4 linked regions of the Lepisosteus oculatus genome follow. The protein of the gene in region 3 purifies or fractionates together with the protein of the main gene of each other region. This does not show direct contact. Links are inferred from orthologs where the notes say so. Each region holds a gene or a part of one and is shown on either strand. Other genes may lie near its edges.

Region 1 (6,974 bases), on a different chromosome or scaffold from region 3:
CCAGAAAAGTGCAGTACAAGCGTAAGGATACATTTCAAACACTCTTCTTAACAGATTTCAAATGTCATGCAGGACAAGATATATAATCAGGAATAAGTGAACAATCCTAGTGCACACTTCATAAACTCCTTATTAAGGGTCTAAAAGGGTCAGTTGATAACAGAGGTGCTCCTGGACCAGCTGGGTTCAAGATAGATAGATAATACTTTATTAATCCCGTAGGGAAATTGATGTGTTACAGCAGTCCAGCCCAAGACAAGCAAAACAGACATCAGAATAGTTATTAAACAAAAGACAAACATGATAAATAAAAATAAATAAATACATAGGTGTGTGCAAAATGTGCTGATCATAGTCACTGTAAAAACAATAAAATATGTGCAAAATGTGCATAGGTTTATACAGACTGATTGTCCAAAAAGTACAATGGAGTAAACATGCTGTCCATAGAGAAGCAAATGAATGGCTAAAAGTCCTAGCCTAGGGCAGCGTTATACACCCTGACAGCCGCCGGGAGGAAAGACCTGCGGAAACGTTCCCTTGAACACCGTAGCTTGAGCAGTCTATTGCTAAATGTGCTCCGCTGCCCAGTAACAGTCCCATGAAGCGGATGAGAGGTGTTGTTCATGATGGCTGTGAGCTTGGTCAGCATTCTCCTCTCAGCCACCACCTCCATGGGGTCAAGGCTCATCCTCAGCACAGTGCCAGCCTTCTTGATGAGTTTATTGAGCCTATTTACATCTTTTGTCATGATGCTGCTGCCCCAGCACACCACAGCGTAGAAAATGGCCGCCGCCACCACTGATTCATAAAAAATGTGTAGCAGTGTTCCACACACACCAAAGGACCTGAGTCTCCTAAGAAAATAGAGTTGGCTCTGACCTTTCTTGTACAGGGCATCAGTGTTACCAGACCACTCCAGCTTATCATCCAGGTGTACCCCTAAGTACTTGTAGGAATGTACGCCCTCTATGTCCTCACCCTGGATGGAAACAGGGTTTAGCGGAGACTTATTCCTTCGAAAGTCAAAGATAATTTCTTTGGTCTTGCTGGTGTTAAGCTGGAGATGGTTAAGATGACACCACTCCACAAAATTGGTAATCAAGCTCCTATATTCCTCCTCCCTCCCCTACTGTAGATCCACTACTGTATTTCACCCCCAGCATGCAGAAATAACCACACACCTGGTTTTAGTGAGTTACAAATGAGATCATTCTCAATTCAAACAGACTGGTTTCAGTCTAAAACCTCATGGTATCAATCAGGTCATCTCACTGAAACCTTAAATCACTTCAATATGGGCTCGTTCTGTGAGTGCCAGTTTCCACCCACCTACCCCAGACATGCTGGCTGGGTCAGATGGATCAGAAGGAGTGTGTAATTGTTCCTGTGTGCCCAGTGGTGGACTGGCATCCCATCAGTAGTCCTGCCTTGTGCTCTGTGCTTCCAGGGTAGTCTCCAAACTGCACAACCCTCTGCAGGAATTAGTGGCTTTCTTCTCGATAGACTTGTGTCTTGGATTGTCTGTTACCTTGCTGCTTATTTACGAGACAATACCTTACAACTGTCTTGTTTTGAGTTTTTGAGACAGTAAATTACGTTAAGCTCGCCCTCATACCCAAAGAAGGCTCAACAGCTGAAACACTGTTTCCTTTCTTCTCTTTTCAGCATGGAATACATCTTTATGTTTAGTTTTGCTTCATTTTTTTTTAGATGATTATTTTAGATAGATGGAACGTCCATCACGCAGTAGGCACCTAAATATTTCAGGTAGTATTTTAGCCAGCAGCAACTAATGCGCTATTTTGTGCTAAATGGGGGAAATTAATCTCCCATATGTAGCTTCGAAAATGTCTTGATGCCATTTTCCTAAAAGAAAATAGCTTACAGATATAAAAAAAAAACAACTGCAGCAGTTACTCACGCAGTTTAATCAATGTTTATGTTTTCCCAAGGCATCTGTCTTTGTGCACACGGCGATAGTGAAGCAGAACTATGATCGCCGACCTCCGCGGGTTTACTCATGAGTTTGGAGCAATCCACTCATGGAGCCAAAGGTCAGGGTAGCGCGTCATGGAAAAATACCAGTGACTCATAATGCGATGCAATGGGTCTTTCCTCCCCAGCCAGGGAAAAGTCTGAGGTAGCAGTTGTGGACGGTCACTGTCGGGACACTGTCTTCAGCCCTACAATAGCACGTCACGACTAACGGGCTCAAGTGAAAACGGTGTGGGACACTATCAATTCTGACGATGGAACTAGCTTCGACAAGAGCAAACTGGAGAAGAGAAAAACCCTTTGCCAGCAAAAGAAAACATCCCCTTGCTTTGTTAAACGCCTTGGGGCCACCTTGTTGTGAAAGGCGCTATATAAAAACAAACTGAATTGTGATAACACGCCAAGCCGTGCATCGGACCCGGGTCTCAAAATCCACAAGCGGATTTTAAAACGTAAGGAGAAGCAGTGAGACTCAGCGGATGGCTGCTGTCTTACAACAAAACGCAAGTTCCCCATCACATTTACTCTACAAATCATGTTAAAACGTGTTACAGGCCTAACGGTCAATCCTGCTCACCATTCGTTGTATGCAAAACATACAGAACCGCCATTGAAAACACTAAAATACGGTAAGACTTCAACGAGACCCTGAGGCGACAACACCGCCTTGTCTCTCCCCAGAGACTGCGTTATCCCAGACTTTGGCTGGGCTCGACTGGAAAACAATCCACCATTGTTCTAGGTTACAGGAGCAGAGAGCTCAAAACTCACCCCTTCACCACGAAAAACGGGTCCTCCATTGACATCCTGCACCTGTTGACGAAATGTTCAGGGCCTCGGTACCGTCATACTCCGATTACCAGGGACAGCGGTCGCTCTGCGGTTTATATTTTTGCGAGAAGAATTTGCAGTGAATTTTCTGTTTATATAAAGACAATTAAAGCTCTCTCCACTCCTCCTCCATCGTTGGTTGAAATTACTGCCGGGTCGGAGGTCACAAAGCTGAGTAAAAGGAAGAGGCGGAATTAGCACGACTGTGAGTATAGCGTTGGGGGGTTGTTGTGAGAGTTTCTTCCTGGGTAGTCGAAAAAAAAAAAAAAAAAAAGACAGTTACGTGAGTCACGTTAACATCATGCAAGCGCGAAGTTTGTGGTTACAGACCGGATGGAACAGACTCATTAGAAAGCGAAACAAGTACGTTACGTTTCGATATAAACATTTCTAATCGAAAGCACGACTGCAGTGTCACCACTGGACGAAAAATGATTTCTGCCGTCAAAGTTTAAAATCGTGCTTTGACTTCATAAAGGGTTATTCGAAACCACGCTGTAAACGAATCGACAAAAATGGTAGTAATAATTTTACTTACATCTGGTATTTAAAAGTATAACCCGAACTTGACTGTTGCAAAGATCAGTGGTACTTCGGGAAGAAAAGGGTGTTCATGATCTATGATATCGTTACAGGCTATGGTAAGTGACAATGTAAGTGTCTCTAAGAATCTAGGTACAAATTGGTAGCACCTAACTAGTGTCATTTCCACTTTATAGAGCTTCAAACCATGTTTATTTTCCATCTATCATTACTTAATTGCCGTAGTTCTGAGGTTGTGCTGTATGTGAGATGCTGATCAAAAGAATCTTCTGGTTTATTTGAGTTAATTTAACTTAGTTCTGATGTTCACCTTCGTTCTGGGAAAATAATTAAGAGTGTCGGAGGGATAAAAAGACAGAGATACATGGAGGGCGGGAGGATCAGAACAGAACAAGAGAGGATACACTAGGATACAGAACACAAACCAAGTGCCGGGTGAGAGGTCCTTGTCTACATCACCCATAAACACCAGATTGGTGCTAAGTATTTGCACCTTTCTAAGAGAGCTCACTATTCTGTTTTTTAGGGAATTCTGATTTCCGGAGTGAAGGATTCCTCTGTTAAAAACAGCCTCTCCTATGTAGTGGGTGCATTTTTGGAATGGGGAGATAGGTTCCCTTAAATTTGGTGGCATCTGGATTTACAGAGAGAGATTTAACCACAAGTTGTATTTTGTTAGGTTTAGAATGCAGCTTTGTCCTATTCTGGCCTTTGTAGGTGTTATGAGTTTGAATACATGTTAGCAGTCGGAGGGCTTTCTGGGTGGTCTAGACGTAGGCTTCTGGAATGCCTTGACTGTAAATTTTAAAATTCAGTAACTTGTACGTTGTATGTTTAGTGTGCTGTAAGTTTTTAAATAAATGTTTGCTTAACACACTGTGTGTGAATCGTTACTTTTTTCACCAAAGCTGTACCAGAGAACAAATAACTCATGTGCCTCTAATCATACCAACCACTTAAGTATATTCTTGGCAAAATCCTTACAAGTTGTGGGTTATGATTATTTATTTTATTATTTTATTGACTAAACCGCTAAATTAGTAAATTCGCATAACCTCCCATTTGTAACAACATATATAATGGACTCCAACATTTCTTACTTCTCTAAATGCAGCCGATTGAATAGCATCAGGCCCTGGTGATTTGGTTATCTTAACATAGTGCTTCTAGTACCTAATTAATCATTTTGTAATACACTTTCTTTCATCTTATATTTTTATTTGTTAGTGATTTAAGCCATACGGTCACTGATTACTAGACTTTGATTTAGTCTCGGGTTGAATCTGTTTTAAGCTTCAAGCAGAATATCTTTAAACTGTCATCAGCTGTTCTCTTTTTGCATTGTATTGTCCGACTCCATTCTGCTTCTCTTAGTCTCTGTTTCATTCCTTCAGTCTGCTTCTGTGGAATTCTTGACATTTGTTTTGTACTGTTACAGGTTTTTACCTCAAAGCGTACCATAATATGATCACAGTTCTCTTACCTTTGTTTTCCTCACTCTGTCTTGCTTATTTGAGAACACTAGATGAATAAGGGCGTTCTTTCTAGTAAGTACTCCTATGGAGTAAGAAAGCAGTGGCTAATGTCTACCATTTCAGTTTTAGGGATGGGAGTTCAGTTTCCGACTATATAAGGGAAATTAATCGTTTCTTCCTTATAATATTGATACTATATTCCTGAGATAAAGTGCCAAAGGATATATTATAAATGTCATCTGATTGTGCAAGTCTCTAGGATACTCCCAAAACTATGCCTTTTAAATCAAAGCAACCAATATATATCCTTCATTTGTCAAGATTCAGCTCTTGCACTTGAATGTTCTTTGTGCCATATAGTGCTAAACTTCCCCCTCTTCCAGTGATCCTGTCTCTCTCTCCTCTGATATTGTATTACCACTGTTCTCTGTTTAACATGTAGTTGTGATTCCACTGACTTCATTATCTTCTGCTAATATGGTTACGTCTGCCCCTTTTGTTTCTAATAATCCAGCATCGACTAAGTTAACTGGTCCTTTGATGTTTCTTTTTTCCCCTGGGTTGTCTTCCTGACTTGTGGATTTTCTATAGATTATGTTCCATTTAATTTCATTTGTCACTTTAAATGCTTTTGAATTTCTTTGTGGATCCTTGTGCCAAATTGACGGGTGCCTCCTTTCGAGATAATCCTGCGCGTCTCTGTACAGATGTCCTTTTGCTGTACAAAGGTTTCCAGCGGCCAGGACAGTTGTAGTCTTCTTTGGCACAACATGTTCTTGACCGTGGATTCTGTTTATGGATTAGGATGCGCAGTTGGTCTCCTTTACTGCAATATAGCAAAATATGTTTGGCTTTGGAAAATCGTGCTGCTCAACAAAATACTGGCGCCCAGTATATTGACCAGACTCTGCTTTTTGTGGTGAAGCCAAATTGACAGAAATCTGATCAAAAGCATTGCTTTTGTATGCCATAATCAATGCCATTTGCAAGACCTGGAAAAGAACATGCAACCCAAAAAAAAAAATTCCTAGAAAAGGCAAATAATTAGAACAAGATGGAAAGTACCATGGAATTTGGCAAGCCTGTAACTTTTCTGAGCTTCCAGTTCAAATCTTCAGTGTTTATGTCATGTTCGCTTAAGAGCTCAAAGCTCTCGTGGCGCAGAACTGAAGAGGTGGGCGTGCACTGGGGCTGGTGGAAGGGGCGCATACTCTTACACGAGGTGTTAATTCAAAGGCTACAGTGACTTGATTGTAAATCTTTGCAAGGACAGAGTTGATGCTTGAGGGATATTTTGGGAGAACAGTCACACCGTGACCTACAAATCTACATCCCTTGCACATTAACCCTTTGTGGTGCTGTGTACCTAGTATTTCAGCTTGTACGTTGGAAGGCACATGTACGTTTGAGGTACCCTGCCTTGTGCTCGTTGCTTGCCGGGATAGGCTCCAGCTTCCGTATGACCCTGTATTGGGATAATTAGTTAGAAAATGGATGGATAGTTCAAATTTCAGAATTTCTGTGTAATGTGTGCACATGAATAAAAAAAAAATATGCTCATGTGCACATAATAGGTCTGTAGGGCAGTACTGCGGAGGTCAGTTCTTGGACTGCTGCTCTTCCCAATCTATATAATTGATTTCTGACTCTGGGATGGACAGAAAACCTGTCATATTTGCAGATGGTTCAGAAATAGGTGTTGTAACGTCAGTGGAAATGTGCATCCCTTCAGTTCTTGTCCAGCAGGTCTGGAAAATGCCAAAAGCCAATCGAGCAGATTCCAAAGCGACAAATATTGTCTGGGTAGCGGTGGTGGTGTTGTCTACCACTGCCATACCATACTGGGAGCAAAGAACCTCACATGCAGCCGGCGTTTGATAGAGAAGTACCGCAGTGTCTTTAGTTACTTTAAAAAATAATAAAACACACTGAGGGCGGCACGTTGGCAGAGTGGTCACTACTGTAGTCTCGCAGCATATTGGGTCCTGAGTTCAATTCCTGGGGAATTATCTATGTGGAGTTTGTATGTTCTCCCCAGGTTCCTGTGGGTTTCCTCCAGGTGCTCCGATACCCCTCCTCAGGCTGGTAGGTTCATTGGTTTTTGGGAAATTTGGCGTGAGTGTGAGT
Region 2 (6,892 bases), on a different chromosome or scaffold from region 3:
TCCTGCAACCTGCAGCCCCTGACATGGAAAAATACTACTGAGGAATCTAATTCATTTCTTTCACAATGAAAGTTATTGCTGATGTAAAACCTTAAACCAAAAGTCTGAAATAGTCCAAGAGGTCAGTGGGTTTAATTAGATGTGCCCCAATTCCATTAGTGGGCGTTACGGATTGCTTTGACAGCTAGATTCTGGGATGTGTTGGCTAATAATCCATCGTCTGATTTAATTAGTTGAAAAATACTGCCAGTGTGCCAATAGAATTTGACTTATTATTGATTTTAATTATGAATAATGCTGTGCTAAAACACTCCAGAAGTGCAGTTTCTTGATTCATGATGAACATTAGGATTTAGGGTTATTCTGTTTTTGTGTAGCTTGTTTTGGAGCAGAATGTGCGAAGGTTGCGTGTTGTCTAGGTCCGTTGTGCATTCACGCCAGGCGACCCTACTGTAGATATATCAGAAGTACCTGATGCACCCAGCCTTGGCTGGAATGCCAGCATGCAGACAGTGAAACATAGACTGGCAGTGATATCTATGGAATTACTGCCAGATCAGCATGGTGAGGTGTGTTTAAAGCCGCCACATGCGTGTGTCTCTTCCATGCAGACACGGGACATTGGCCTACAGTGTGCAAACATATGAGCACACAGTTCGTCCTACACACAAAGTCAAATGTCTTACCCCTCCATACTCAGGAGTTAACAAGCAGTGCAAGAAGTCTTAACCTTCTCTATGAATCATTGTCTCTTACACTGTCATATACAGAAAGATAAAATACACTTTATTGTTCCCTAGGGGAAAAGTTTTATGGACACACATTGCTTCTGTGCATCTGAATATATCGCACAAAATGACACATCACATCAATCGCGCATGCATAACTAATTACAAAACATAACCATGATATATTACGCTTGCATAGTTTGTTACAGCATAAACATATACTGACACAATGGCATTGACCCTTGCCATTTATGTGTATTAACTGCTTCAATAGATAAGGGAACAAATGAATATTTGTATTTATATGATTTACGTTTAGGAGCCCTGAAAGATTGATTCGTGAGGAAAAGGGGATGTTCATAGGGATATTCAGAATGAAGAATTTGTGAAGGATCTGATATCATTTTACCGCCTGTCTGATCATGGATTTTAAAAAAATTGTTAGCTGGAGTTCTGCTTCACATCTCCAGTGCAAGACAGTGCAAACAGGTCAGTTGTTTAGCACAGCAGATTTCATCATATGGAGGTGTTTTGCATTTTTAGAGTGTTTTGGCAAAGTATTACTACAAAATTGGCTGTTAGATTTACTTTGGTAGTTGGTCCCATGATCCCATCTCCCATGGATACTAAAAGACACATGTAGCGTTTTTAACGTGAGAAACATTAGGAAGCAGCAAAGAAACTCCTCCTTCACCAGTGATGTCGATCACAAAGATCCGGCTTGTGTTTGGCAGCCCCTTTCGCTGGAATTTGTAAAAGCGGCTCATTAACTATTTTAATTGAGTTGAGTGAAATTCATCTCGGCTCCAAAGCATCCGATTTCAAGAAAATCCTGGAATTAAAGGGAATCCTAGAATACTGTCCGTTCACATTTTAAAGATGGGGAAATTTCACATGCTAGTATCCGAGTCCGATCTTGGAGAAAGGTGATAGGCATCGAATTTTGAGTGTCAACTCCAGCTGTAGTAACTGGACACCACAGACCCACACACACCTCCCGCACTGCACTCGAACACAAAGCAGGTTGGATCACTGGGGAAATATCAGAGCAGATTCTTACAGTACAGGGCTTTCTCCTTACAGACACAAAGCAATAAATCTTTTTTTTGTTGGGAGTGAGATCTCCAGGTCTCTAGAAGAATATCAAGTACACCTAGTTAACTTCCACTTCTGCAGTTGCCAGTATTGCGAGACAGGTGTTCAGTGATTTATGGACAGCGATATCATGAAACCCCTGGCCTAGTTGCACGTTTTTCATCATTTCCAAAAAAAAATTTAAAAAAAAAACAACAAAAAATGGCCCTGCTTTTTTTAACAAGGCAGTGGGCCCCCAACACTTTGCATGTGAAACTAGTGTTAGATCTTTCTCTCCTCTCTGTCTGTCTAATTTCCCCTCTGTTGGACTCCTTCTCTCTGTTCCTGCTCCCTGCCCCCTTCTCTCCCCTTCTCTCTCCGTGTCTGTCTCTCTCTCTCTTTTGTAAGTTTTATTTTTGTAATTGTGCATGTAAAAGCGTCACTGAATCGATGGAAATGTTTAAAAAAATTTAAAAAAGAATTCAGCTGCTGAAGCCATGCAAAACGTTTTGAATTGCCCTTAAAATATGGAAGATGTTTTCTGAATGCTTTATATTCTTTCTGCTGTAAAATAATAAAAAAATGAAGAAAATTCTCATAGTATGATGTTGCTTTGTTTTGTTTTTTCTGTTACATTTGAACTTTCATGATGGAAATCTGTGTATACCCTGAAAATAAACGCTGAAGACTTTAGGCTGGGCTTATGGTTGGCAGTATGAGTATCGTTGGGTCTTTTCCATGATAATCAATAAACTCAAGTGAATTTGCTATCAATACTGATACAGTGCTAATTAAAGATGAATAAATTGCTGTTAATGCAATGTTGACAGTGCAATTGTCACTTAATACCAGAAAAAAATAAGTGCTTGTCGTAGAGAGACACTAATTGGAAACCGTAAATGCTGTCTGAGCGGAACACTCTTCATTATAGCCACGATTGTTTCCTTCGGTCCAGGAGACTCGTGCTGACAGGCTCCCAGGGGTTCTGTGATCTTGGTAATATTCGCTCAGAGACCATTCTCAGTGTCTAATTCGACACAGCTGTAGGTGTCCACGTGGAGTTGGAGCATGTTGGCTTGAGACAGTTGAGGAGCACGATGAATGTGCTACAGCTCTCTGCCTCTCTAAAACTGCTGGTTCACAGCTCTATAGGCCATAAGCGTTGCTGTGTCATTTTCCAGAAAAGTATTAGTGTTCTGAATCCTAAGAGCAACATGATTTCCAGGGCACAGGTGGGGCTGCACACTGGTGGTGGTGGAGGGGAGTCCCCATTACCTGTTAAGCACTTTGAGTGAAGTATCAAGAAAAGCTCTATGTAAGCGTAAGCAATTATTATTATTATTATTATTATTATTATTGTTGTTGTTGTTGTTGTTGTTGTTGTTGTTGTTGTTGTTGTTGTTAAGATCAATGCTGAAATATTTACCAGAGGAGTGTTCCTTGAGATTTCCATTGCTAAACCCGTTCGGGTCCTACAAGCAATGAACATCACTCTGTTCTGCCAGGATGATCTGTATAGTTCTTAACTGTGTCTCTGTTCTTGAGTATGTGTTGGAGAACGACCTGTCATTTTCCAACAGGAGTCTCCTCTCTTTATTTATAGTCTTGTTCTCGGGATGCTCGAGGCCACGCAAAGCCGGTCACACGCGTGCTCGTCACGGGTGGGCATCCGAAGGGGCGCTGGGTATAAAAGAAACAGCTGCTTGCAAACTGGTGTCTCACTAGAGTACACTCTGGAGACTTTCTAAAGTAAATCGACTTGTAGGTCAATCTTGCAATGCTAAAAAAACAACAACCGCTTGAAACCAAAAATAAATAAATAAAAAGGCTACGACAAAAAGTGAACGCATCTGATGGACAGTCCCTTTCATGAGACGTTTTTGTTTATTGCGATCAAGTTAATTATTTAGTTAATTTAATCCAGAATTATTTAACTCCAGTCAGATGTGTGCAGTCTGGAGCAAAGGCAAGAACAGAAATGCACCGAACTTAAACACTTAAAACACTTAAAATACATGGCCTCAGGCAAGGTAGAGGGTTAGAGATTTGTAAAAGTGCGAGAAAACGGTCGAACAGCGACCGGGAGTGAGCTGGGAAGTGCGCTGTGTCTTTAAATCCTGCTGTGAAAGTTGGTCGCACTAGCTGACACCACCTCAGCCCGATTTACACTTGGTTGCTGGTCCCGTTGCGGTAATCATGTAAGTATGTTTCTCCCGGTCAAACCCGGTGCCGTTCGGGCCCCGGCCCAGAGGGTGGGCCGCGAAAACAACATTTCGACACCGAAACCGAGCGGCGGTTTTCCCGTTTCGACGTGTGAAGGGCGCCCGTGTGAGGTGTCGGGGATGCGGGCAAAGGGCGTTTGTCCCGAGTCAAGTTGCCGGGCAAGAACGAGGCTTCGTCTTAAGTTTTGACTTGTAGGCCCGTTGTTCTGTTTTTGTTTTTAAACTTTATAACAAATCCGTCGAGGTCTGAAACGGTAAAGCCAGGATCCAGGACACCATTGTCTGTGTGTTTGCTGCATATGTGTTACTTTGTTGAGGTTTTTTTTTTTTACTATGGGAAGTAAACGGTTTTTAATGGACCCGGCGCTGTTACTCTTTTTTGAGTAAACGCTTCATTATTTTTTTTACATGATCAAGAGTTACGTTAAAAGAAAGCCGGTACTGGATCATTCGCCACTTTGCATTTTCGGTTTTTCGTTATTGAAGAAGTAACGCAGTTGAGGTGGTTTATTTTCTTGCTTTAGGAAAGGGGGGGGGGGCTTCTCTTATTTAAAATTAACCGAAATTTTCCGCAGTTTGGTTTTTACTTTTGCGTTTTGGTGTCATGTTTTAATATGCTTTATAAGAGACGTGTCGTTGTGCGGGAAATTACTTTAATAATTGACCTCGCTGTGGTCACCTCGGGTGTGTCCAGGCGCACTATCTTGCATAACTTGCTCTGAAATCACTCTTGAGAGTATATTTTAAGTGGCCGGGATTCAAACGGCTGTCCAAACCTTACATGCAACAGGCAAGTTTTATTTTTAAAAGCTCGCTTAAAGCATAGGACGCTTATCTCGGAGGTAGCACCTATTAATCGCGATGCCCACAGTGCTGTTAACACTCCCAGGAAAATCGCAGTTTGGGTCGTTGTTTGATTATGTTCAACTTCGTAATTCATATGTACAAGGTACGACATTTATTATATTTAGGAAGAAAAATGCAATGCAAAGGACTGGGGAATTCTGTTCTGAACAAAAAGCCTAAGAAAAGCATATCCTCGTTACTAATTCATCGATTTTTCTGCTGCTTTTATTGAAATCGCCCTATATTTTGCATCCATTTATACATCTGGACAGTCTGCTGAAGCTGTGTGGGCGAATGCTAACGAGGGGGATCGCCTCAAATCTTCTTGGTAAAATAAATGAGAAGACAGATGTTATAGGTGGAAGAACGTCCTGTATGAAGTTTGCAAGCCTTCCTCGTTCCCATGTGTCTTTTTCCCATTTCATTTTCCTCCCAGCTCATGGGGGCTTGCTGGCCAGGGGGATTCGCGTCCCTAAGGTTTCCCTGTGCCTGCTCGAGACCCGCCCTTTACGCTGGGTCTGTGTCCCGATCCCCGCAGCTCTCGGGTGGTTGAAGGGGCTACAGGTAACGGGCTGATGGGGTCTCTGAGGCAAGAGGCGGTGGTGGCCATTCGGACGAGGCGAGGACGAGATGACGTCGCGCCAGGGCTGCTTTGAGGTCGTTCCTAGCCCGACCTAGCCTTTCCATTCTTGCGTACTGCAGACGCGCCTCTTTAAGATAAGATCACTTTATTAGCCCTATACAACTTCTTGTATTAGGAATTTGTCTTTTCGCATACCCCAGCTTGCTCTCCATGAGACACACAGACAGGGAGAGAAGCTGGGGGTCAGAGCACAGGGTCGGCCATTTATACGGCGCCCCTGGAGCAGCTGGGGTGAAGGGCCTTGCTCAGGGGCCCAACGGAGTAGGATTCCCCTGCCGGCCGCGGGATACGAACCGGCAACCTTCCAGCCACAGGCGCGGATCCTGAGCCACAGAGCCACCTCTCCGTCTTTCCCCCTTCGCCCTGTCCAACTGCCACAACGGCCGTGCTTGTGGCAGGAGCCCAGTGAGGCTGGCGGTGGTGCCAGCCGGTCCCCGGCCCCTTCGCCTCCTGCTCTGGTGGACCGGCCGCCTCGCTCCACTGGTGGGGATGAAGGGGCAGAGATCCGCCTCAGGCATGTGATCGCCTCAGGCGGGCCAGAGAGGAGGTTTCTCCTTCAGCCAGGGGGAGATGGCCAGCTGTGTGGCGCAGTGCCTTTGTGCTCCTGCTGGGGATCAGCGCGTGGCTCTGAATTGCAAGATGTCGCAACAGCTCAGGCTGTGCTGTACTTGGGGCTGTTCCCGGGCAGGCAGACAGGAGACGTCCATTCCTTGAGACACAGGAAGCCCCAAATTCCTACATGCCGCGTGGATCCTGAGGATGTCTTGGGTCTCTGCAGAATCGCGCTGGAAAGTGAATTTAGAAGATTAAAGAACACCAGAAATACCTCGTCTATTCATGCATCATTTAAAATACTTTATACTTTGGTTGCCGACAATCTGAACACGACGGTTATCTCTTGTAGTATAAAATAGCGGTCTGATACTGGGCTGTTGAGAAAAAGAGCCACACAGCCAGAAGAATATTAATCCCCTTAGGTGTTTGTTAGTCTGACTGCAGAGGAAACGCAGACTATTGCATTGTGGCTCATGTGTAGCTTGGAGGGGACTTTTCTGGCTTAGTTTACAGATCCCCTATTTTGGAAAAAGGCACTGGTGCCTGGTTTATGTCAACGTTTAGTCAGCGGCAGCTCTGGTTCATCGCGTTTGTGGCTGTCAGTCCAAGTGTCGTACACCCTGAATAACATCGATAGGTGGTGTCTACCTGCTTCTTTTGAACAGGCTGCAAATAGTAAATAAAAATGGAAAAATGCAAAGTTTAAATTCAGCTTAACCTCTGTTGTGTGGATCCTCATTAGTCCCTTAATCTGTCCATCCTTTCTGTGACTGATTCTTCTAATTCTGGGTCGCAGGGATACAATTCCCTGTATCCTGCCCCGC
Region 3 (7,429 bases):
AGGTACAGCAAGGCCTTGGAACGATTCCTCTGCTTCCTCATTTAAAGTTAACCCACCCTTGCCCACAGCAATGCAGCTCTCCTGCCCGAGACCCATCAGTCTGTTAACAGAAATATAGTTGTTCCCAGTCAGGGTCAGTGGCCTCCAGGAACTATACCCTGGACAGGACACCAGACCATTGCAGTGCATGTTAACACAGAAACGCCCCAGTTTGCGATGACAATGATCCCAGCGAGCACATTGCTGCGAGGTGGGAGGACACTGGAGCACCTAGAGAAAACTGAAGCCAGTGGGGAGCAACATGCAAGCTCCACACACAAGGTGTTCCCGTCCAGGAATCAACATGATTGGTTCGAAGAAGCCATTATTCCAACTTGAACGATATTTTTTTTAATTCTGGATCTCTTATTTCCCTGCTTTAGAAGCCATGAAATAGGTATTCTAACTTCATCTTAAAAAAACATTTGTAAATAATCTATTTCAATAGTTAGGGTCACTAAGTAAACAAACTAAAGCCACTGGGGTGTAAAAATCCATAAATGATATCGGCTTTACTAGTACTTTTACTAATCTACGTCAGATACGGAGCCAAAGAAATATGTAAATGAAAAAAGTTCACTGAAAAAGACTATTTGAGAATCGTTGTAGCTACAAAAACGGTTGTGGAATAGTTTTATAACGATATCTATAACGTTAGAGAGCGAAACATTTTCAGATCTTTTAATTCCAAAGGAGTTTAGAAGTTTAGTCTTTTCCAACACACAAAGGAGTAAGTACGTGCCAGATACTTCTGCTCCAGAAGTCTTCACATACAACTTTTACAACCGTCTCCCAGTAACATAACTATAGAAGAGCACTCTTGTGTTGCGGTCTTGAAAATTAATGACTCCTGAATCTTCCTTAACTGGAAACCCACAGCACCCCCACCACACTCGCGAAGCCCCCACTCGGCGGAGAGCCCCATTTCTTCAATGCCTCATGTTGAGGCCGAAAAGAAAAATCCCTACAACCGATCTGAGTCCTCGCTTCTTTGCATGTTATTATCATAGGAAAGGGTCGAGTTTTACCGACTTCCAAAGGAGCCGTGGACGTTTCGAAACGGAAAACATTTATTTTTCCCTGTAGTGGGTGGATTGATACCGGCAGCCGCCACGAACAGAGGCGTTTCGCTGTTTTTATTCATAGAGAATTATTCTTCATGTTCCGTTTTGTTTCTCTAGCAGACTATTGCTTTGTACTTCTAACTAGCTCAAACCCTGTTTACAGCTGTGTAGTTGTTCTTTCTCCTCTGCTATTTCAGCAGCGGAACACCCTTCCGCGACGAGAAATAACGAAGTCCAGCTTCTCACAAAGTTTAAAATGACTACCCTCTGAGTCCCTGACAGCTGAAGAAAGGTGGTAGAAAGCGCAGATGGATTAAATAATACTTACTGTGATTTTAAGTTGAAACACACTCAGAGCTCCCAGTCGGGGGTACAGAGTCGAAACAAATTCCTTCAGTCGGCTACTGATTTGCACTGCGCATGCGAGGATCTGATTAAGGACAGCGGCCGCTTTGAGCATGCGTCCCAGTGCTGGGAAACTTGAATTACGTCATCCCTTACAGAGTAGGAAAACAACCTATCCAACACCAATAAAGGGAAGTGCTTTAGAAATGAATCCCGTCAAACATGCTGTATCTAGTTTTGGAATTAAACTGGATGATCAATTGTAATTTACACAAAGAACATTTTTTACACTTTCCCCGACCCATCACTGTGTATATACCAAAATGATTTTAATGATTAGACTATGTCGTATGTAATGAATGACTCTTGAGCTGTAATGGTTTCCTCCGTACATTTCACTTTCACACGAAATTAAACATTTACGAAGATTTAACGTTTCGTTGACGTATTCTTGGAAGTGGGCTATGAATAACTTCTATAAACGGTATTCTTTTTTTCTCTGTACAGATGTTTTTATGGAGAAATAAAAAGTACACAAAACACTTCCTGAAACAATAATACTTTAATACTATTTTATTAATTCAAATTATACACACACACACACATATTCGGAATTTTGAAATACTCCATACCATTAGTACGCTATTGGTGTTGCATATAATTCCAATTAATTTATTGAAGAATGAGACTAAAAATGTACAAATATCAGATGTATCTTGCCAACTGTGAACATTTGGTAGTGAAAGGAAACCAGCAGCAGAATTCCATTAGTCGTCACGACAGAAGATTAAACCGTTTCACTTTTCATTTAATCATGTTAAAACACTTAGCATGTTGTGTAGTAAAATGATACGCTGCTATGCCGATGTGTTAAACATTTCCCATTGTTATATTTTTAAGACCTGTTAATCGTTTTTCATGATGAGTGTCAAAACCAGTTGAAAATCTTAAAACAGTTTTTCAAAATTACATATAATACGCATAAAACATTGATGAACACCACGACGTGTATATAATACAATGGAAATTGTATATAGCTAGCTATACTATAACAGTAATTACTCATTTCTTACACTTACTGTATATAGCGCTTGTCTGGACACTCCACTCAAAGCGCTTTACAGGTAATGGGGACTCCCCTCCACCACCACCAATGTGCACCCCGCACCTGGATGATGTGACGGTAGCCATAGTGCACCACTACGCTCACCACACACGATAATTGTACTACCCTAAAAAGATCAATTACAATGCAAACGAACATTGCGGAAAAACAAACTATTGGTTTTAATTATAATATTACAAACCTTGAAGCGGTGCCTTGTGCATAAACAATTGCGGAACAGATAAAATCAGGGTTACACCAGTAACCAATTCGAAAGCAGGCGCTCTGGTGCAGGACGGGGGACCTCTAGCGTGTCTTCTCTCCTTCTTTCCCCGCCCGGGATCTGGAGGTGAGACTCGAAACGCAGAGCTTTTTAACAGAATTTGTATAGAAATGCCTATTCCACGTAGACAACAAAGTCCTAGAAAAATGTAGTCTCGGCCTTGAATCCCCGCTCCCAGGAGCTCCTTGAGCACGATTCGCTCCCAGTATTTCCTCAGTTCTGTTGCGTAGAAGGAAGAGGCGGGGTCGACGCGCGCAAATATGGCGGCGAAAACAGCATTGTGCTGGGAATAGTTATAATTCCGCTAAAACGAAGTACAGTATATCAGTTTAAACAGGAAGCGCGTGCACTGTGGCATAGAAGTCTACGACGCAGATTTCTGATTACAGACCATGGGCTCTAGGAGAGTCCCTTAAAGGCAATTCCGAGGTAGGACACATGGAAGCGTGTACGAGTTTGGTGCTCAGTGCGCCCAGATGTTGTCAGGGATGCGACATAGTTCAGTTGCTTACCGCTAAAGGAAAGCGAATAGTACAGTGCTTTGCAGAGTTTATAAGTACAATACGTGGCGATGTTAAGGTCTTTATCTGCGCTTCCTGAACACTCACAATGCTACCTCTTGCTTCATGAAATTATTTCGTTGCGTGCTCGGTAACTAGTGATTGTTTTTTTTTCATTAGCGTTTCAGTAGAGTATTTAGGAAGTGCAGCGTTTTGTTAAAAAAAACAGTCTTTATCATTTAAAGGTTAAACCATGATCACAAAAATAACCGTGCTACTAGAGATGGACTGCATTAAATCACCTGGTCCCGGAGCCTTCCTTCTTCCCCATTGATAAGTTTATAAGGGGTCACTTCCGCAGACCTGGAAACAATTAACTGTGATCAGTGAAACATTTGGTACAGTCCAGGACTATTAAGTACAAACATCAAAATACCCTGCAGCCCCCTTGATAGAATAAATCCATTGATTAAGTGATTAGAAAATCAAAACTGACCCTTATCTTTAAATTGGCGGGCCAATGGCCAGTCACCGGATTGGAGCTCTTTCTGTTATATATTTGTAAGAAGTTTCGTCGACTCGTGTTATTGCGAAGAAAACGAAGTTGATCTTGCAGCGAGCACTGCAAGATGCTCAATTATTCAGGCAGATAAAATGAATTTTGTCTGTTTAAATCCTTAACAAGTTCAAGGGGAGAATGTGACATGCCGACATTGAAAATCCTTCTTGTAGTTTCTAACGCCCCGCAATCTTCTGGCTGTATTATGATAAAATAGACAGCGGGGGGTCAGTGGCTGTGGTTGATGACTGGTTGCAAGGTGTTGGGGAATTCACATGCAGGCTAAACACTGTTGCTCTCACAGCCTCACCAGAGATATATTGCATAGTGTACTGTGCCATTTCTACTCATTTATACTTACTTGCCTCTAGCAGCCTGCAATAGGATAGTGCAAATACCCTCTTCTTTTCTTCCTATAGGAAATTACATATTTAAATAATGGTAGAGAACAACTATTTTATATAGCGACTTTAAAAGTGACTCCTCAACATGTTTTACAGTAAGGAAAAAGAGGATATAGCAGCATTACACAGTTATAATAAGGGTCTGGAATATCTGCTCCCTGATGGCCAGCTGCCCTAAGAGCATGTGCCTCTGTGGCTTTGTTCAGCTATCCATAGAGTCATCTTTCTATCTTGCATGGAGGTCTTGGTTGCAGCTGACGAAGAAGCCGATAGCACAGGCATCCTAATGTTATCCTCATTCTTGAGTGCGGGTTGTATGGTTGACGTTGCCATATCAAATTCTACAACCAGTATCCACCTAACATTCACCTGCCTCCACACTCATAACCTACAGCTTAACATCCACACTCATGCTTTTCCTTGATTTTTAGTACCGAATGTGGCCTATAGCACTGTGGCTCTGTTTCCCCACTGTGAGTGTGAAAAATAATGAGAGTAGAGGTGACAGTGAAGTAACCGTAATACATGTGACAGCTTTACATTCTTTCCGCTTTTATTAGCAGAGTGCTCAACCTGTAAATAATAATCATGATGTGTTTTTTTCTTGGCATCATACAACCGGTTTATTGATTTTCTTTCTTTTCATAGTTTTTAGATTTAAAAGGAGTAATTCTAAGATTAAGTGTCTATCTTGTTTATAACTAATGAAACATAAGGTGGAGATACTATGCAAATAAAATGTAATCTGGATAAACACAAAGCACTGCACACATACTGCATAGTAGGAAACATGCTTTTTGATCATTTTATATCAGTAAATCTTTGTTCTCTGGTTTGACGCTTCAGCTGCAGATGAAACCCGATCCTGGTTTGATCCCTGAGCAGTACAGTAGCCATTTGTTAAATCAGATGTCCCTGTATTTCCTTTCAAAGTGTGTGAGTGGGCTGCTTGGGTGCCACTCTGGGGACTGGAAAGCCGAAAGAAATGCCAGGAATGATCTCACTCTCTTTATTGCAGCTGAAAATAGCTGTGGCCTCAGATGTTGGAGGGACAGAGTTGCCGATTAGGATTTGGTCCTTAACTTGTAGCAGAGGGCATTCTGTCAGTGTGACCTACTGTAACAGAGTTTGAAGGTCTGCTACAATGGGTGGGCTATCGAACATGCCTTTTGTTTGAGATTTGACTTTCTAAATGCATAGGAAATGAGAGCAAACACTTATATGAGCGGTGTGGTGGCTCTGTTGCTAAGGATCTCCACCTGTGGCTGGAAGGATTGCCAGTTCGTATCCCGGCAGAGGAATCCTACTCCGTTGGGCCCCTGAGCAAGGCCCTTAACTCCAACTGCTCTAGGGGCGCCCTAAAAATGGCTGACCCTGTGCTCTGACCCCAAGCTTCTCTCCCTGTCTGTGTGTCTCATTGAGAGCAAGTTGGGGTATGCGAAAATATGAATTCCTAATACAAGAAATTGTATATGGCCAATAGAGTGATCTTATCTTATCTTATATAGTACCTTGCCGTGAGTGTAGGCCTGCTGTGAAACACCCCTCACAATAAGTGAGGAAGACACAAGCACATTCGTCGTGCGAAAGACTGTCGACACTATGTGCACATGGAATTCTCCCACTGTGAAGCTGTGCCGAGCCAAATGAACAAGAGGGCAGAATCGCGCATTTCTCTTGTGTAGTTTTTCTTTCTTTAAAGGAGCCTTTATTGTAGTATGCTAGAAGTAGAACTCTGTGCAAAACATGGGTCAAGATCTTAAAGAAAGAACTTTGAACTGCCCGTAAAATCATTAAAAAAGAAGTTGAATTCAGTTTTTATTTTTGGCATGCACTTCCCAAGATGAAAATGTGTCTCCTCTGCTGGGTATTCTGCTTGTGTTAGCAGGAGTAATGTGAGTGGGATGGCTGCTAAATTTTTTCAAATTAGGTTGGGCTGCTTCATAGCAGAAGAATTTGCTTCCAATTACATGTATAAGTGACCTTAACTTGCTTGTAAGGACATAAAGGGTCCTACTAAGGAAATGTATATTGGTTAGCTTAGTCTTTGAGGGTTTAAGAGGGACAGCTTATTAAACTCTGTTGTTAATTGTTACCGAAGGCAGTAGTTCTCACCTTTCACACTGCAAATAAAGATGCAAAGATGTTGTGACTGTTGCTTGCTATGCTTCCCAATGACATTCTGTACCTGAAACTTATTTTTTTGGTTAATATACCGCAACATTTAGTAGTTTCTATTTTTCACTATTTCCCACTTGCTATATTCCCATTTGGTTCTGTTTGAAAGCTGTGTGTTTCTTGTGTATTGATAAGAAGTGTGGCAATGTCAGGCTCTAGAGCTGGATTCGTCCAGACACAGTAAGATTACGGTAGCGTGCTCTGCTCGTCCTCTTCGTTTCTCTCTAAGCTTCATTTAGATTGTTTAAAAGTCTTACTGTAAGTGCTCCTCCGCCCTTCTACATGGGGAGCTGTAGTGTAACAGTCACCAGGGTCTCACCTATCTGATTTGTTCAGGGAAGTAATTGCAGAATGATCTTTTTAAGAAAACCCATGTGTACCTCAGTGTTGTAATTACTGCCTCTAATGCCTTTTCATTGTGGACTTGAAAGAAATCACCCAGGATGCATTCTGTGAGGTCCAGAAGGGCTGCAGACTTGGCTCACCAGTTCAAGAGCGTTATGTATCAGGACTGTTCTGCATAAAATCTGTGCATCTGTCTGCAATGATAGTGACTATAATATAAAATCCAAAAGACCTGATTTCAGATTAAAAATAAATGTTCTTTGTAAGGCCTTTTTGATCTGCTGACCAGTGAGCTACTTGCTGCTAAATGGGATGCTTGTTTGTAAGCTCCCTTATGTTTATTAGTTAGAAAGCACACATTGTACCCATATGATGAAAATGACTTGCTTAGCCAGGCAGCTGTCCTGAGGTTCTGTCCAACGGAGTCTTTGACCTGTGTTTTAATATGGCTTGTGCTTTTTGTCACAGCTTCCCAAGGTGATGGCTTGATGTCTATCTAGAAGCTCCAAGATGGGAAAAGAACGGAAGTGCATTCTCTGCCACATCGTTTACAACTCAAAGAAGGTAACACAACTGTGAAAAGAATAGACTGAAAGGGACTTGACAG
Region 4 (7,781 bases), on a different chromosome or scaffold from region 3:
TTGTCTTGAAAGGAGTTAAGACAAGCTGGCTCAACCTGCCTTTTTTTAGTACGGAGACTGTGACCGCATTTTCTGGAATGTAGAGGCGCTCGGACTGCTTCAAGCAGTGCTGCCCAGCACCAGACCTAGTGCAGCCTGTAGGTTTTTATTTCAATTAATGAATCAACTGGCTTCATTGGAGCTGTATAACAGCTGCTGATTGATAGGTGATGCTTTATTTGGCGAATGAGAGTTCTGGTGCCAGTAAGCTGTTCTCATAGGGTTGGATTTGGAAATATTGAGGATTAGCGTGACTTCTTTTAGACTGTTGAAATCTACTGTTTTTATGTTTCGTCACCACTGGGATGTGTTTTAGAAAACCAATAAATTCTTTATACAATGTAAGGTGCTGGATGTTTCTTTATAGCTATTTACTGTGGGCTTTTAAAGGGTTTTCTTTTAACAGTGATGCAGGGCACAAGTAGAATAAAAAGCTCACAAGAGGTGCTGGACTGCACATACAATGTTATCTCTGCATTCAATTCCTGTGACTCCAGGAAAAGAGTGATCTGGTTTCCTGAGCCATGCTGCCATTTCCTGCTCTGGTTATTCCCCTTCTAGTGAGCAGGTTCACTGGTTTCTGCTGATCTTTTATCCATCAGCCTCCACTCCATCAGTTGGCTGTCGTTCTGTGCCATATGTTTTGCTCCCTCTTGGGAACATCCACCAATCCGTGTTTGAGACGAGGTTAAATTAGACCCAGTCGTGGAAGTTGTCGTGGTTGGCTCAAGACCATTCCCTTCATCTTGCTCGGGTTCACAGGGAGGGGTTTATGCCGTTTCTCTTGTGATGAAACGGCACCTCCAGTGGCAGGTCTGTCCGTCGCTGCAGAGCTTCAGTCCTGTGTGCAGTGCCGGGCTGTCTGCTCCAGGCTTGGGGTGTGCTGCACAAGGACCAGGAAGGATCTCGGTCTCTTCTGGGCGATTGTGCTCTGATTGGCGTTTGTGTCAGACCTGCTGTTTTTAATAATCTGGGACTCTGCATGATTTCAAACCAGGGAGAGATTTCTTCACAATCGCTGAGCATTTTTTCCAGCTATGGTGGTTTTGCCAAAAAAGGGTGACTATAGAAATTGCTGAATGTCTAGTGGTGGGATAAGTCTGACTTCCACCACACTTCAACTTGTAGTGTTTTAATTGGCCTGATTTCATTCTTGAGATCTCTTTGTTGTCCTACGTGCTCCTAGTAACGATGAAGCTTTCAGCTGGCTTTTGATATGTAAAAGTTAAATGCTGCTATATGCAGAATAATTCAAAAAGTTTGCAGTGAGTCAAATTTATTGGTTGAAAGAGGGGATTGGGGAGGGGGCGTCATCAGGAGTGTGGTTGCATAGGGGGGTCCTAAAGGCCTGGATTGGGCCAATGGCCTGGTTTGGGATGCAAGCAGAACGCCAGGCCTTTTGTTTGTGATTTAAAGTATACAGTTAAAAAATCTCATCTCGCCTCGCCTCCCCTCCACCCCTTCTGATGCTGCGACTGGCAGAGCACTGTGCCACTTTGAATTCCAAGATGCTGAAGGCGCTGTCGCCCGCTCGCTGCCAGCCTAAAAATAGCTGCCGTCAGGCCGGCACGGGCGGAGAGGAGTCGGGAGATTATCCGATGCGACAGTGGCAGCCCCCCCACTTTTCACACACGTCAAGTGCAGCAGTGTTGAGGGTGCGAAGTGGGTGCTGGGACCTAATTAACACCTGGGCCTGGTGTGAGAGCCTGGCTGCCTGGAATTCTTTCAATCCGAAGTTGAGGTGTTTGTGTAGGAGAGAAGAAGGGAAAAAAAGAGGCGAGAAGCAACTATCTTGTTGGCGATTCCCCCAGGATTCCTAGAGAATCCGTAGGCAGTGCAAGCACAGAAACGGGAGACGTGTGGATCCGTTTCGAACCAGATTTATGTTTATAAATCTTTTTGTTCTTGAGCTCTCCAAAGATGTTCAGCATTTTGGGTGCTTTGCAGTGGCAGAAAGAAGGAACGATGATAATTGCTTATGCTTATATAGTACTTTTCTGGACACTCTACTCAGAACACATCACAGGTAAAGGGGACTCCCCTCCACCACCACCACCACCACCACCACCACCACCACCCATGTGCAGCCCCACCTGGATGATGCAATGGCAGCCATAGTGCACCAGTACACCCACCACACACCAGCTGTCAGTGGAGAGGAGAACAGAGTGATGGAGCCAGTTCAGAGATGGGGATTATTAGGAGGCCATGACTGGTAAAGGCCTGCGGGAAATTTAGCAAACACCCCTATTCTTTTTGAGAAACACCCACACAGACCACAGGGTGAGCGCCCCCTGCTGGCCCTACTGACACCTCTTCCAGCAGCAACCTTAGCTTTTCCAGTAGGTCTCCCATCCAGCTACTGGCCAGGCTCACAGCTGTTGAGCTTCAGTAGGACTGCCAGTCGAGAGCTGCAGGGTGATATGGCTGCTGGTAAGCAGAGCCGGGAGAGAGCTTTCCTCTCAATGCATTGATCTGGTGCCCCAGGAGATCATTACTCAGGAGTAATGGGGAACAGATTCCATCACCAGATCTCCTCCAATTTCCTCCTACTCCCAGCTCAGATCCTCATTTTTTCTACCTGCTATCGACAGACACTGCCCTTCCTTGTAACAGCTGTCCGAATTAATCTTGTGGGCTACCAGAGAGTGTCGGTTTGTATTAAAGAGCTCAAGAGTGGAGACCGATCAGATGAGACCACTTCAGCACTTGTTTCTGATTTGTACATTAGTAACTCATCCAGAGTTTTCCTGAAAGACTCCAAGACGATAGTTTTGGTTTCGTAACTGGGCAGCTTGTTCCAGACTCCCACTGCCCTTTGTGTAAAGAGGTGCCTCCTACTCTTGAGTGTCGCATGCCGGCGACTTCGTATTCTCATTTTTGTTGATTGCTTTCAGTTATGTCAATTTATTTAGCAGAATTCAACCCTTATCTATTTTCTTATATATTTTTCGCCATCAGCATTGTAACTCGGCCAGCGCCTTGCATCGTCTATCTCTTAAGTGTTGTTGTTACGAATGCGACTGCGCCAGGCGGAGAGCGGGATCTGTGTTTTTCTGATTTACCACATATGGTAAAGGAATGGTACACGTCTGGATTAAATCGATCCTTTCCCTGGCAAATACTTTGTGTCTTAAAGAATTACGTCTTCTGCCCAAGCAAGATATTATGATGCCCTAATGTTTAGGTGCAAGCCTTTTGCGTGAATAACTGGTTTGCTGTGAAATCCGAGAGAAATAAATAAAAGAATTAAAGTTTGGAGTAGGCGCAAATAAAGTCATTCATACTTTTTCAGAGACGGCTCGTATGGTAGCGTGGCCGAGCGGTCTAAGGCGCTGGATTAAGGCTCCAGTCTCTTCGGGGGCGTGGGTTCGAATCCCACCGCTGCCAATAATCCATTTTAGTTTAAAATAGTTCAGAATTAGGATAGACAAGGAGATACCATCTGTGGTGATAGCAGTTTTACAGACTGTGCGGCAGCTTTGCTCATTTTTCTGCAGATCCCTAGCGTGAAGAAGCGCGGTCAGATCTGAAATCCCAGCTCTCTTTCCACATGCTCAGTCTGCAGGCTCTCGAGCTTGTTGCCTTCGGTCCAGTTAAGCAATGTTTTGGGGGGGGGGAAGGGTGGAGTGTAGGGGCGGGGAGAGGGCTGTCACGGAAAGGTCAATTTTTTGTTTTGTACCTGTTCAGATTTTATTTTCACAAAGCAACACACCCCGCTTCGGACGATTTGAATTCATCGCTCAGCCTTCGTGACGCGCTGAAACGTTCTAGAATTTGAGACGCGGGAGATGGATTTTATTTATTTGTTTGTTTGTTCAAAAAAGAAGGCCACGCTACGAGTTAAAAGTTGGGCGGCATCTTTCTGGCGCTGCCGACAGGTCCAGAAGCCAGAGAGCCAAGTCACTGCGCCGCCATTTTGTTGTGCCTCCCACGGTACCCTGGCTCTCTTTCCCGTCTTTCTCCTCTCTCGACATCGTTTCTCTGAGGCGTAAATACACCCTCCCTTCCCCGGTAACACTCCTGCGTTTAAAATACAGGACGCCCCTTCGTCTTTTTTCCAAACAATTCACGAAAATGAGACTTTTTGCAAAATACAGCGCCATGTATATGTATGGCCGTTATGTTACAGCGCCATCTTCCCTCATCCTCGTCATCTATTTGAAAAGCTGACAGGAAAACATTCAGGGGGAAAAAAAAACTATAACATGTAAACATTAGGACTAAGCCGTGTAATGAGAGCCGGGGCTTTGTGCGAGTGTGCGGGGGGGAGGCGGGGTGGGGCGACTCTTAACAGTGTGCAGGGAATGCAGGACTACAACAACAGGAAAAGATTTTTAAAAACTTTCCGACAATTAAGCGTTTTAACAAAAACAACGCCGCTGTTCGACTGTTTCGTGAGGAAACAGAAAAACGCACCCCAGGATAGACGGTTTGTCCCCTGAAAAAGCTGACATTAATGACAGACACAACTAAAAAAAAAAAGAAAAAACACCCCTTTATGAACTTGACCTATTGAAAATTCACCCAGACTGCTAGTACACTGTTAGTTCGTGTTCTGGAGAATAAAAAGAAGAAGCGCTAGTTCAGTAGATATTTTAAAAGTTTATTTTTTCCCGTCAATATAGCACGATTCCCAGTATATTGCCTACAGGTTATGCGATTCCAACCCCCCGCCCCCTCCATCTCTCCAGCTCCCCGGAGCTGCCCCGGATGACGGATGACGTCAACAGGCCATCTTTGTTCTCAGAGCCCAGCGCCTGTGTTTTTTTTTTTCCCAATATCCCTACAGCTCGAGCGCCTGGACCCATCCGCGCGCGAGGCAGCCATCCTCTCCCATCGATTTGCACGGTAGAAACTGAATAAATAAGACCGAAGACGGGGACAGGACCACCGCCTACAATATAAAGGGACACATCAGCGACCGCAGCGGGGGAACATAAAATACAAACATCGACAAAATCTGAACAGAATATTTAAAAAAAATATATTGACACCTATTCACAAGAAAAATAATCTAGAACGCCAGAAGCATATACTTAACAGACCACAAACGAGATGTGAGTACGAATAATTGGTTTTGCATGTAGGCGTTAGGTATAATATATATATATATTTGTATTTAATTGTCTGCTAAATGAGGATTTTCACAGGCGGGCGAGATGCAATGAATACACCCCAGGCTGCCCTACCCCTGCCCTCTCTCCGAATTGCCAGAAAGGGTCAGATAACGGGGCGGCAGAGTGGATATTTTCCGAGTGTCCTTTTATTTCACCACCGTATGAGAGGACAGAGAGAAATAATGAAGCGTCTTGTTTAAACGCAGTACTGTGTCACTCCGGACAGAACCAGCCCTTCGCGTTGTGTTGTACAGGAGCCGAGAAATGTTTGTAATTATTGTCACTTTTAATTTTGTTTTCCCCCCTAATCATCTCTTAGAAATACGCTTTCCTTTCGGCGAACAACACAAGCCTCTCTCGCCATCTCACGTGGGTTGGATGTAAACCATTTGTGTCGGGTTTCTAGCCGATTTTCTTCGGCGTTTTGAGTCGCAAAACAAGCGGCTTAGACGACTCCCTGCGCTGGTTTGCGAGAAGCGAGCGGGGGTCGCGGTTTTGGGTCAAGACGTTGATGGCGTTTGTGCCGACAGCGCTGTGGTTCCCTGTCTTACATGGGGGCGATATCCCGGGGTAATCGCGGCGCCCGTTCGTGGGCTTGTGTAGGGCTGTCACGGGAGGACGGAGAGGGGGCTGGGTGTGCGGTTCTGGACGGTCCGGGCGCCAGTGGACCGCATCCCCACCGAGGAAGGACTCCGTGTTTCCCGGCCGATCAGGGCCGGCTGCTGGGATTTCGGGATGGCGATATCACCCCCGGTCTCGACAGGTTGATCGCGACAGGGGAAGGAAAAGCAGTCTGGTTTGGATGCAGCCCGGTGCTCCTGACTGCGATGTGTTCGCCCACAGCTACACTGTAATGTAGCTCGGAAAGATGGACAGAAGACTCGACCTGACAGGTTTTCCGCTGCCCGTCGTTGTAATAAGGGATCTGGTTGCTTAGGCGTCCACTCTGATATTTGTTTTTGAAAGGGAGCAAACATGACTGTTTCAGAGGAGCACAATTTATATAAGATGTCAGAAATATGGAGGATGAGGGTGATGGTGATGACGATGATGGTGATGATGATGACGGGCAGAACGCTGTCATTTATAGCGCTGGCGACCGGGGGCTCGTGTCGGTCGTCCGCCGCCTCAGGTGACGGATCGGGAGCAGAGAGCGGACCGGCGGCCGGAGTCGGTTCTGTGAGCTTCACCGATCCAAAACGAGCGTGGAGCCGCAGGGATCGGGCGTGATTATGGAAATTTAACGATATATTTTTTTTTTAAAGAGGGGGTATTTTTGTATTCAGCGCTTCGTGAATGTGATTGTAATGTGATTGAGCGTGCAGGTTTTTTTTTTTGATGAATCACGCTTCTCGAATGAGCTACCCCCCTCCTCCTCCTCCTCCTCGCCCCCCCCGTCTCTCTCACCCTCTCTCCGGTTTAACGGAGAGGTAGGGCTCCACCATCCAGCCCACGACGCACTCGGGTGTATCCGCGCCGCCCCGAGAAGATGAGGTGTTGTCTTTTTAAAACCGGACACCCGAGGAGTACACGGGGGGGGTCGCGCCGGGTGGGCGGGCGGAAAGAGCTAACTTGTCATTCTCAGGCCCCGGGGTGTGAGTGTGCGCAGATCCCCCCATCTCCGCGTCCTGTCCCCTGCCTCCTGCCTCTCGCCTCTTCTTGCGTTGTAGCTCTCTGTCCGTCACTTACACGCCACTAATCTGCATGCAATCACAGCAAAGACAGGTTGCTCTTGCCTGGTATGTTCTCTGTGCCTTTGTTTACATGTGTCCATCCATATCTCTCAAAATATCAAGGGTGCCCTGTCTCGAATACACTTGGGCGAGAAGATCGCCGATATGTACCTGCAATACACACCTGAAATGCCGCACCGCATTTTTTTGGTTTTGTTTTCGCGGTGAGGTTGCGGCGTGTACTTCTGTATAAAAGCAAACCTCTCGTTCTGGGGATCCGTCTCTGACGTGACGCGTTCCTGCGTAGGGCACGAGAGCGCAGCTCGCCTCTCGCCTCTCGCCGGCGGGCGGGAGTGCGCGCCCGTGCGCGGCGCGTGTTGGCAGGGCCAGGCTCCGCTCTTCCAAGATGGCTGTGGCGTCAAACCCCTTGAGCAGCGCGGGGAGGAGGGGAGGGGGGGTGTTGTGTTTTTATTTCTTGGAAGAGGACGGATTTGCCGTCTAAAAATAGCTCGAGACGCGAATAGTGGTAGATCTGGAATCAAATGAAAGCAGAGGAATGAACACAATTTTATCAGAAGTCCAGTGGTATAGGTCCTGTGACAGTAACCCATGGCTATTTCACTTGGGGATTTCCGTATGAGCAGCATCTGGCTTTTGAGCAACACACCAAAGAAGAGGTTTAGTGTGGATTTTACACAGCACTCTGCACTGTGGGATTAACGTGACACCACTTAGAGGTGACCTTTATTCGGAATTCTGTCTCCCCCGGCTGGCTGGACTGTGTCATGGCGGGTCTTGCGCCAGAAGGCTCATGTTTACCATATTAATCACACAGCCAGTTGTCTGATGTTTTATTGGTAGTCACAGTCACAGGGATAGACTCTTATAGTCCCTGTGGAGTCCAGTACACTGACACAGCCCAGTCACAGGGCTCTAGACTCTTACAGTC

Evidence for each region.
Region 1: the proteins of synaptosomal-associated protein 23 (region 3) and stx6 purify together in Homo sapiens (affinity purification with mass spectrometry; 3 studies listed by BioGRID and IntAct, with this or other methods). This does not show direct contact. The link is inferred for Lepisosteus oculatus from reciprocal best matches to the Homo sapiens genes SNAP23 and STX6.
Region 2: the proteins of synaptosomal-associated protein 23 (region 3) and vamp3 purify together in Homo sapiens (affinity purification with western blotting; 6 studies listed by BioGRID and IntAct, with this or other methods). This does not show direct contact. The link is inferred for Lepisosteus oculatus from reciprocal best matches to the Homo sapiens genes SNAP23 and VAMP3.
Region 4: the proteins of synaptosomal-associated protein 23 (region 3) and vamp2 purify together in Homo sapiens (affinity purification with western blotting; 4 studies listed by BioGRID and IntAct, with this or other methods). This does not show direct contact. The link is inferred for Lepisosteus oculatus from reciprocal best matches to the Homo sapiens genes SNAP23 and VAMP2.

What each region holds. Positions count from the first base shown.
Region 1 is NC_090704.1:30,260,935-30,267,908, reverse strand, and holds the start of stx6 (syntaxin-6), read right to left. Parts: upstream 3,003-6,974; 5' UTR 2,805-3,002; coding exon 2,770-2,804; intron 1-2,769. UniProt on the Homo sapiens protein: SNARE promoting movement of transport vesicles to target membranes. Targets endosomes to the trans-Golgi network, and may therefore function in retrograde trafficking.
Region 2 is NC_090720.1:9,620,960-9,627,851, forward strand, and holds the start of vamp3 (vesicle-associated membrane protein 3), read left to right. Parts: upstream 1-3,875; 5' UTR 3,876-3,998; coding exon 3,999-4,000; intron 4,001-6,892. UniProt on the Homo sapiens protein: SNARE involved in vesicular transport from the late endosomes to the trans-Golgi network.
Region 3 is NC_090703.1:20,902,019-20,909,447, reverse strand, and holds the start of synaptosomal-associated protein 23, read right to left. Parts: upstream 3,021-7,429; 5' UTR 2,756-3,020; intron 1,542-2,755; exon of another isoform or gene 1,432-1,541; intron 1-1,431. Other genes in the region: zinc finger protein 106, read left to right, coding at 7,333-7,386. UniProt on the Homo sapiens protein: Essential component of the high affinity receptor for the general membrane fusion machinery and an important regulator of transport vesicle docking and fusion.
Region 4 is NC_090698.1:9,315,317-9,323,097, forward strand, and holds the start of vamp2 (vesicle-associated membrane protein 2), read left to right. Parts: upstream 1-4,778; 5' UTR 4,779-5,097; coding exon 5,098-5,099; intron 5,100-7,781. UniProt on the Homo sapiens protein: Involved in the targeting and/or fusion of transport vesicles to their target membrane. Major SNARE protein of synaptic vesicles which mediates fusion of synaptic vesicles to release neurotransmitters.